2 linked regions of the Rattus norvegicus genome follow. The protein of the gene in region 2 purifies or fractionates together with the protein of the main gene of each other region. This does not show direct contact. Links are inferred from orthologs where the notes say so. Each region holds a gene or a part of one and is shown on either strand. Other genes may lie near its edges.

Region 1 (3,696 bases), on a different chromosome or scaffold from region 2:
CGCGGCTCTTCAGTGCTTCCTAACACAATGCTATGTGAGGTACTGGTCTGCACTGCTGCCTGCCAGGCGGTCTTCCCAGGAAACTGGAAGGAATAGGTGTGTAGGTGGGACTAGAGCTGACTGCTGGATTTGGGGAGGATAGGGAAGGACTTTCGAGGAGTAAAGAGGAGAAGCTTTCCTCAGGAAGGTGGAATGCTAACTGCAGAGTACCTGCCAGCAGCCTGGGAGTGTAACAAGCACAGGGCTGATGAGAGAGCTCAGTGGGTGAAGGCCTGCTACCAACCCTGACGGCCTGAGTTTGATCCCGAGCCCACGTGGGTGGAGAGAACGGATTCCAGCAAGTTATCCTCTGACTGTGACAGGGTAGCGTGGCACATTTACACATACATGAGCATGAACATACACAAATACAATGTAACCTAGACAGAGTAAAGACACACAGGTATGTGGGTACAGATGCTTTAATTTGGGGGGCAGGTTAGGCCACTGTCTCTTTACTGCTGTGCTAGAGATGGAACCCAGGACCTCCTGCATGCTAGAGAGTGCTCTACCACTCAACTACATCTTCAGACCACCCTTACATCTAGGTAGTACACTATGGGCCTGCAGGCAATGCTGGCACAAGAGAGGCGGAAGAGCATGGCTTGCTCACACTTGGGGATCTGACGGTCTCAGTCTAAGGCATCTGTTATGGGCAGATTTAAAACTGTGTAGGACTTTATTTTATCTGCCTAGTGATCGACAGGATTCCCTGAGCCCGTGCCAGCCTCATACTTACTATGTGGCTGATGACTTTGAACTTCTGAGCCTCCTGCTTCTATCTTCTCAGTGCTGAGACTACGGGCCTGCCCCACCATGGCTAGCTTTTAAGCCAGATGGAGCCCAAGGCAATGCTTACAACTGAATTCCAGCCCATTTGGTTTTTGAGACAGGGTCTCACGTAGTCCAGGATAGCCTAGAATTTGCCCTATAGCAAGGATTAACTCTGAATTCCAGATCCTTCTACCTCCACCTCCTAAGACCTGAGTTTACAGGTGTGCTACAATGCTCAGAAAGTAAGGTAATGTTGGAACAAGATCCAGGAGGTGCAGAGTTAAATAGAATGATATGAACCCTCGAGAGGCCAATGAAACTGGAGAGGAAGGGCAGGTAGGACAGGAAGGGTTTGGTTTTCTGGGTTGGGATTGGGTGAGCTGTCTTTTCCTTCTCCTTTCCCCCTTTTCTCCCCTCCCCCACTTTCTTTCTCTGTCCTATCCTGCCACTGGACTCCATGCCTCCAAACAGAGTACCCCTATTTAGCTGTGCTGGAACTCTCTGTAGACCAGGCTGGCCTTGAATTCACAGGCCCGCCTGCCTCTGCTTCCTGAGAGCTGGGATTAAAAGTATGTGTCATCACCATCCGGTTTGGTGAGTATTCAATGATGGCTACAAATCATACAGGAGCCAATGTGGGCAGAATGGGGGTCTACTTACTATACTACTAGGAGCAGAGGTTCTGACCGGAAGTTAAGTGGGTGGGGTTTCCTGGAGTAAGGGGAAATAAGAATCTACAGGAGGTGAAAATAAGGAAAGCCACTAGAATTGGATGATGGGCAAGAGTGGAGCTGGGGGTCAAATAGAGAGGCTAAGGGGGCTCTAACACTGAAGTCCCAAGTGTAGCTCTGGTCTATAACCCAGGGAAATCGATCCTGGACTGGGAATCCCAGCTGCAAACTAAGATTGACCATTAAATTAAGAGCAGGGCACAGCCCTCATTTAGTTTGGAAGTTAGGGGGTTGGGGGTTCGGGGGGTTGTCTCTGGGCCTTAATGGAAATTCGTGCCTAAGATCCTGGGAAGTAGATGCCACAATCAGAACGAAGTTTTATGGATCCAGACTCTAGGGGGTGGGGAGAGGCAGAACGGAGATGTGCAATCAGAAGTGGGTGCATGGCTGGGATATGAGATCACCTAACAAAACCTGGGTCCAGACTCTGAGGAAGAATTCTGAGAACAAAAGGTTCCACAAAGGATGATGGGGACCCTACACACATGGGTCAGCTTCGGAGGTGGGGTGGGGTCTAGACTCTGACTAAAGAGTATTAAGAGCTGATAAAATGACTCAGTGTACAGGTGCTTGTGGCAACTCGGGGTGACCTGAGTTCCACACCCAGTTCCAACGAAGTGAAAAGAGAGGCCCAACTTCTGCAAGTTATCCTGTAATCTTCCTTTGCATGCTGTGCCACGTGCACACAAGAACACACACACAATAAGTAAACGTACAAACAGAAGAGATCCACAGCACAGAGAGAAAGCCCGGAGATACAGATGAAGAATTAGAATGAAGAATCCAGGAGTCCTGGGATTAAAAGGTCCAGCCCAGCATGATGGCACATGTCTTTAACCTCAGCACTGGGAAGGCAGAGGCAAGAGGATCTCCGTGAGTTAGAAACCAGCCTCTTCTATATAGCAAGTTCCAGGCCAGGCAAGACTACCCAGTGAGATTTTGTTTTTAAAAAAAGAAGAAAGAAAAGAAAGGGGGAAAGTCTAGATTGTGGAACAGGAGGCTCTGGATGTCAAGAACTGAGGTCTCCCCCGCCCCCCACGCCAGGCGGCCTGGCTAAGAGGTCAGAACTCTAGAGCGGGGGGTCCCGGGAGTGGGGGGAAGGGGATGAGCGCGCACAGCCCCACCTGGTGCCGCCAGCGGAACAGGCTGGCCGTGTCTATGTTGGGGTGCGTCTCGTCCTCATCGTCCGACACCTCGATGTGATCCCAAACGCTGTAGTCCACCATCTTCGCCTCGGAGGCCCGGACTGGCTCCCGGGTCTCCACACGGCCGGGCGCTGAACAGGGACCCACAAGGGCTAGAGAGTCCGCTCGCCCCGCCCCGCCCCTTCCGCTTCCGCCCAGGGCGCCGCGCACGACGGCCCCGCCCCAGCGTCGGCGCATGACGTTCGTCCTTAGCAACGGGAGTCGGCGGCATTGGCAACCGGAGGTCATCTTTAAAGGGCCAGGAGTACGTGGTGCGGCCTTCTGGAAGTTCCCGCCGAAACCAGACTGAACATCCTTTAGAGACAAAAGGTTAGTCTTGTTGGGCGTGGTGGCCCACGGTAATCCAAGTATGCTAGGGGCGAAAACAGGTGGCTCTCTACAAGTTCTAGTCCAGCCAGGGTACATATTGAGACTGTCAAAAAGTCAAAATTGGCTGGGCAGTGGGGACGCAATCTGGCGGATCCAGGCCAGCCTGGTCTACAGAGTGATTTCTAGGACCGTAAGGGTTGTTACACAAACAAACATTCTAAAAAAAAAATAAGTCAAAATTGAGCCTGGAGAAATGGCTCAATGGTTTGGAGAACTGGCTGGTCCTCCCTCACCTACATGGCGGCTCGTACCTATCTGGTAAGTCCATCTCAGGGTATATTGCGCCCCCTTCTGGCCTTCACCCACACCGAGCATGCATGTGGTACACAGATATACTTGCAGGCAAAATATTAATACGCATAGTTTTTTTTAATGATGTTTGCCCTTAAATAGTTTTTTTCCCCAGACAGGGTCTCACTGTATAGCTCCGGCTGTCCTGGAATTCACTATGTAGACCAGGCTGTCTTCAAATGAACAGATCTTTCTACTTCTGCTTCCCAATGCTGGGGTTAAAGGTGTGCACCACTACACCAGACCTGCCCTTAATTTTTTTTTAAAGATTTATTTATTTATATAAG
Region 2 (3,748 bases):
CCTAAACCATAAAGTCTAGAAAGCCCAATTATGTTAGGTAATGTAAGAAGCTACAAGACCTAGAAAAAAAGTACTCAATAAAGTACTCAAAAGTCACTTTTAATTCACTCTACATAATAGATATGTATCAATATACACATTTTTTGAGACTATTATTGTATAACAATGGCTTACTCCAATTTCAAATTATATTATCCCTGCAAAAATTTCTGAACACGTTCATTAGGATTACTATTCCTTAAAAGACCTAACTTTACAGTGAGCATTTTTCAGATTTATAGTGGTCTGAGAATGCACTAAACATTCGCTTGATTACACTGCACCATTATATCCACTTACATATTGGCAACTGGGTACTGAACGTAACTGTCATTTTTCCCCTCCTTTTTAAAACCATGATTTTGAAAGATCAGATAAAAAAAACCTACCCAAGAATCTCTCTTGTATATCTTTTCTTCAAACTCTATTTCTATCAACACTACTTAAAATGTATTTCCAATATTAAAATAAACTTCACAAAAGCTGATTTTCCTATCCCCGTATTAATGAAACAACTGCAATCCTCATCTAACTCTGACATCACCTGATGGATTGCTCTTTAAAATTTAAGTCCCTGTATTGCAGTCCATTAATAAAGCACCAACAAAGGAACCTTTTCTCCATAAACAGGTACTAAGCCAAATTAAGCCAAACTAGCAATGCTGGAAGAGCAGAGTATTTTGCACAAACCTGCTAATATTTAAAAGCAACAAGTTAAAAACCCTCCTGCTCCAGCTAGTCGCTTGGTCCCTCCCACCCCCACAGGTGCGCACAGCACTCCCCTCCCCGCTAGAAACCCTTCCTCTGGCCCTGAGCTCTGGTCTGGGAAATGGACCGAGCAGACCAGAGGCGCCTCACTCCACTTTCCCTGCCTCCTATGGGTAGGGGAGCTGGACTCACCTGAGTACTGGACTGTAGGGACTGCGCGAGCGCCGCCAGCTGCTGCTGCTGTACGGGCTGGGGGATACGTCGCCGCCCCGCTCGTAGGAGCTGTGGCGGCTGTAGCTGGGCGAGCGGCGCCGGCTGTAGGGGCTCGGGGAGCGCGGCAACCGCCGGGAATAGGGACTGCTGCCACCTCCCGCCGGGCTGGGGGACTTGCGGCTCCGGAGGCTCTGCGAGGCCCTGTGGGACACCGGGCTTTCGTCCCGGCCTCCCAGCGGGCTCAGGGACCGCTGCCGCCGCCTGTAGGCCTTCGGTTCGCTCTTGTCCTCCCGGTAGGCCTTGGGCGGCTCCTTGTAGGCCGAGGGCGGCTCCTTGGACGACTTAGTCCGGCTGCGATGGGCCTTGAGGTCCCGATCCTTGCGGCTGCTACTACTGCTGGACGTAGCCGATGCACTTTTGCGGCGGCCGCCGCTGCTGCTGCTACTGCCGCTCTTGGCGGCCTCGGCCCGCTCCTCGCCGCTGTGTCCGTGGCGGCTGCGGGCCTTTGAGGCCTCGCTGCCACTGCGCGTCCCGTCCCGCCGCCGGTGCTCGCGATGGCGCTCCTTACTGCGACCGCTGCTGCTGCGGCGGTCCCGGCGCGGCCTGCGCTCCGACCCCTCCGCGCGCCTCTGCGTGCCGGAGGAGGAGGCCGGACTCCCGCCGTTGCCCCCCGTTCCCCCGGCAGCCGTCGCCGCCGTTGCCGCGCTGGCGCCCCCCAGCAGCAGCCCCTGCTCGGACTGGGAGCTTACATCCTCATACTCCACCAGCGGGGTCACACCCCCGCCGCTACTGGCACCGCCACCGCCGTCCTGCTGCGGCTGGGGCAGCGAGAAGACCCGGCGCTTCTCCGCCTCCTGCCCGGCGCGGGGCCCGCGGCGCCGCTTCTGCCGCCCTCCGGGGCGCCTCTTGCCTCTCGCCAGCCGCTTGACCTCCAAAGGAGGGCCCGGGCTGAAGCAGGAGGAGGAGGCCGCGGCGGCGGCGGCTGCGGCGGCGGCCGCGCCGGGGGCAGCCAGGAAGAGCAGAGGCGGCGGGGGCGGCGGCGGTTGCAGGAGCTGCGGCTGCAGGAGCGGCAACAGCAGCGGCGGCTGCTGAGGGGACAGGAATCGCCTCCGCTTGCGGCGCTCCTCCAACTTCTTCTCGGCCCAGCTCAGGCCCCCGCCTCCCCCCAGCGCCGTGTCCGAGCTGCTCGGCATCGCCTAGAGCCCGCCGCAGAGTGCGGCGCGGGTGCGGCCTCCTCCGGGGTCAGACCCTGGCCATGTCCCCCGCCGGGAAGGGGGACGGCAGCCGCGGCGGAGGGGTAGCGAGCAGCAGGGCCGGCCGGGAGTCGCGCCACGATAATCCGGGTCGGGACGCGCGTCCCCGTTTCTAGTCGCCGTGTGTGCGCAGAGGCCTCAGGGCCTGGTGCGGGAGGATCCTGTCCTCGGCAGAAAGCCGGCCGCACCCGGCGGCGGCGGCGGCGGCCTCGGGCTCCGGCGGCGCAACGCGGAAGTGCCACCGCGGGCCGCGCTTCACTCCATCGTCCTGACGTCGGGGGCGAGCTCGCGGGAGGGCAGTGGGCGCGACCACAGCACGCCTCCGTCGCCGGCCACTGCGCGTCCACGTCGTCTTGTGGCGGCGGCGACACCCCGCGGCACTCGGACAGGCCTGGGCCTTGCGCCCCGAGGGCACTGCGCGCAGCTTCCGGAGCGGGGGCGCGGCTCGCTGTCCTCCGCCCCTCCACGCGGGCTCCGCGCGCGCCGCTCGCCCCTCCCTTCACTCCGCGTTCTCCCTGCGGGAGGGCGACGCGACTGGCTGGCGGAGCCCTCACCGCGCACCACCCACTCGCCGCGTTCCTCAAGCCTTTCCCCTAAACCAAACGCTATGCCGGCGGCGCGCACGCTCGTCACGTTCGGGAACGCAGACGGAGAGTGGTGGCACCGTCGAGGGCGGTGCTGCGTGCTCGCTCCCGCCAGAACCCTGGCTGTCACCGGAAGTGACGGAGAGAAGTCATTCCACTTCCGGCAGAGGTGGGACGCAGAAGCGGGGTTAAAGAAAGGAGAGGAGGCGTGGGCTGCGCTGTGCTGTTGCTGGAGGCACTCCCTGTGGCGCCAGTTATGGCGCTTGTTGCTTACCTCCAGTTAAAGGTCACGGCAGGACCGGGACGAATCTTAACGACTACCCTTACTCCAGCCAAGGGATTGGAACATCTGTGAGAGGAGACGAGACTCTCCGCAGAGGGCGAAGCTGATGTTAGCCTGACTGGTCTCACGAACACCCAAGTTCAAGGACCCATCGGAACCTAAAAATATACTTGGTGTTTATAGCTTCGAGTTTCCGCAACACTGAAATTCCCTTTTAAAAAGCCTTAAGCCAATCTGGAGAATAGGTCAAATATCAAGGAGGACTACTGAAAATCACAGGAACCTTAAACATCTTGTAGTAACGGAGGCTGCCCTCTATATTTTCACCTATAATAATATCTACACCTATGAGCTGTCAGCTACATAATTCCTAAACGTTGCATCTCTTGCCTTAAGATTGCCCTTCAGTTAGAGGCTAGGCAACAGGGTAATTAGATTAAAATCTAAATGGCTTATTGGTCGTTAATACTGAAAAGAGGCTAAAAGTGCACAAAGTGGGTACATGTAATTACCCCCTTAACAAATTTATTATTTCAAGTCATCAGCTGGTTTGTAGTTCTTAGTAATCAGGTTGACCTCAAGCATCATTGTATCACAAACTAATGGAAGCTCAGACTTCGAAGTTTACAAAAGATAGTTGCTAGGAGATAAAGGAATATGTTTGAATA

What was found.
Region 1: the proteins of Cdk13 (region 2) and Cdc37 purify together in Homo sapiens (affinity purification with mass spectrometry; 3 studies listed by BioGRID and IntAct, with this or other methods). This does not show direct contact. The link is inferred for Rattus norvegicus from reciprocal best matches to the Homo sapiens genes CDK13 and CDC37.

What each region holds. Positions count from the first base shown.
Region 1 is NC_086026.1:27,964,051-27,967,746, forward strand, and holds the start of Cdc37 (hsp90 co-chaperone Cdc37), read right to left. Parts: upstream 2,881-3,696; 5' UTR 2,771-2,880; coding exon 2,669-2,770; intron 1-2,668. UniProt on the Homo sapiens protein: Co-chaperone that binds to numerous kinases and promotes their interaction with the Hsp90 complex, resulting in stabilization and promotion of their activity. Inhibits HSP90AA1 ATPase activity.
Region 2 is NC_086035.1:51,945,312-51,949,059, reverse strand, and holds the start of Cdk13 (cyclin-dependent kinase 13), read right to left. Parts: upstream 2,360-3,748; 5' UTR 2,154-2,359; coding exon 940-2,153; intron 1-939. UniProt on the Homo sapiens protein: Cyclin-dependent kinase which displays CTD kinase activity and is required for RNA splicing.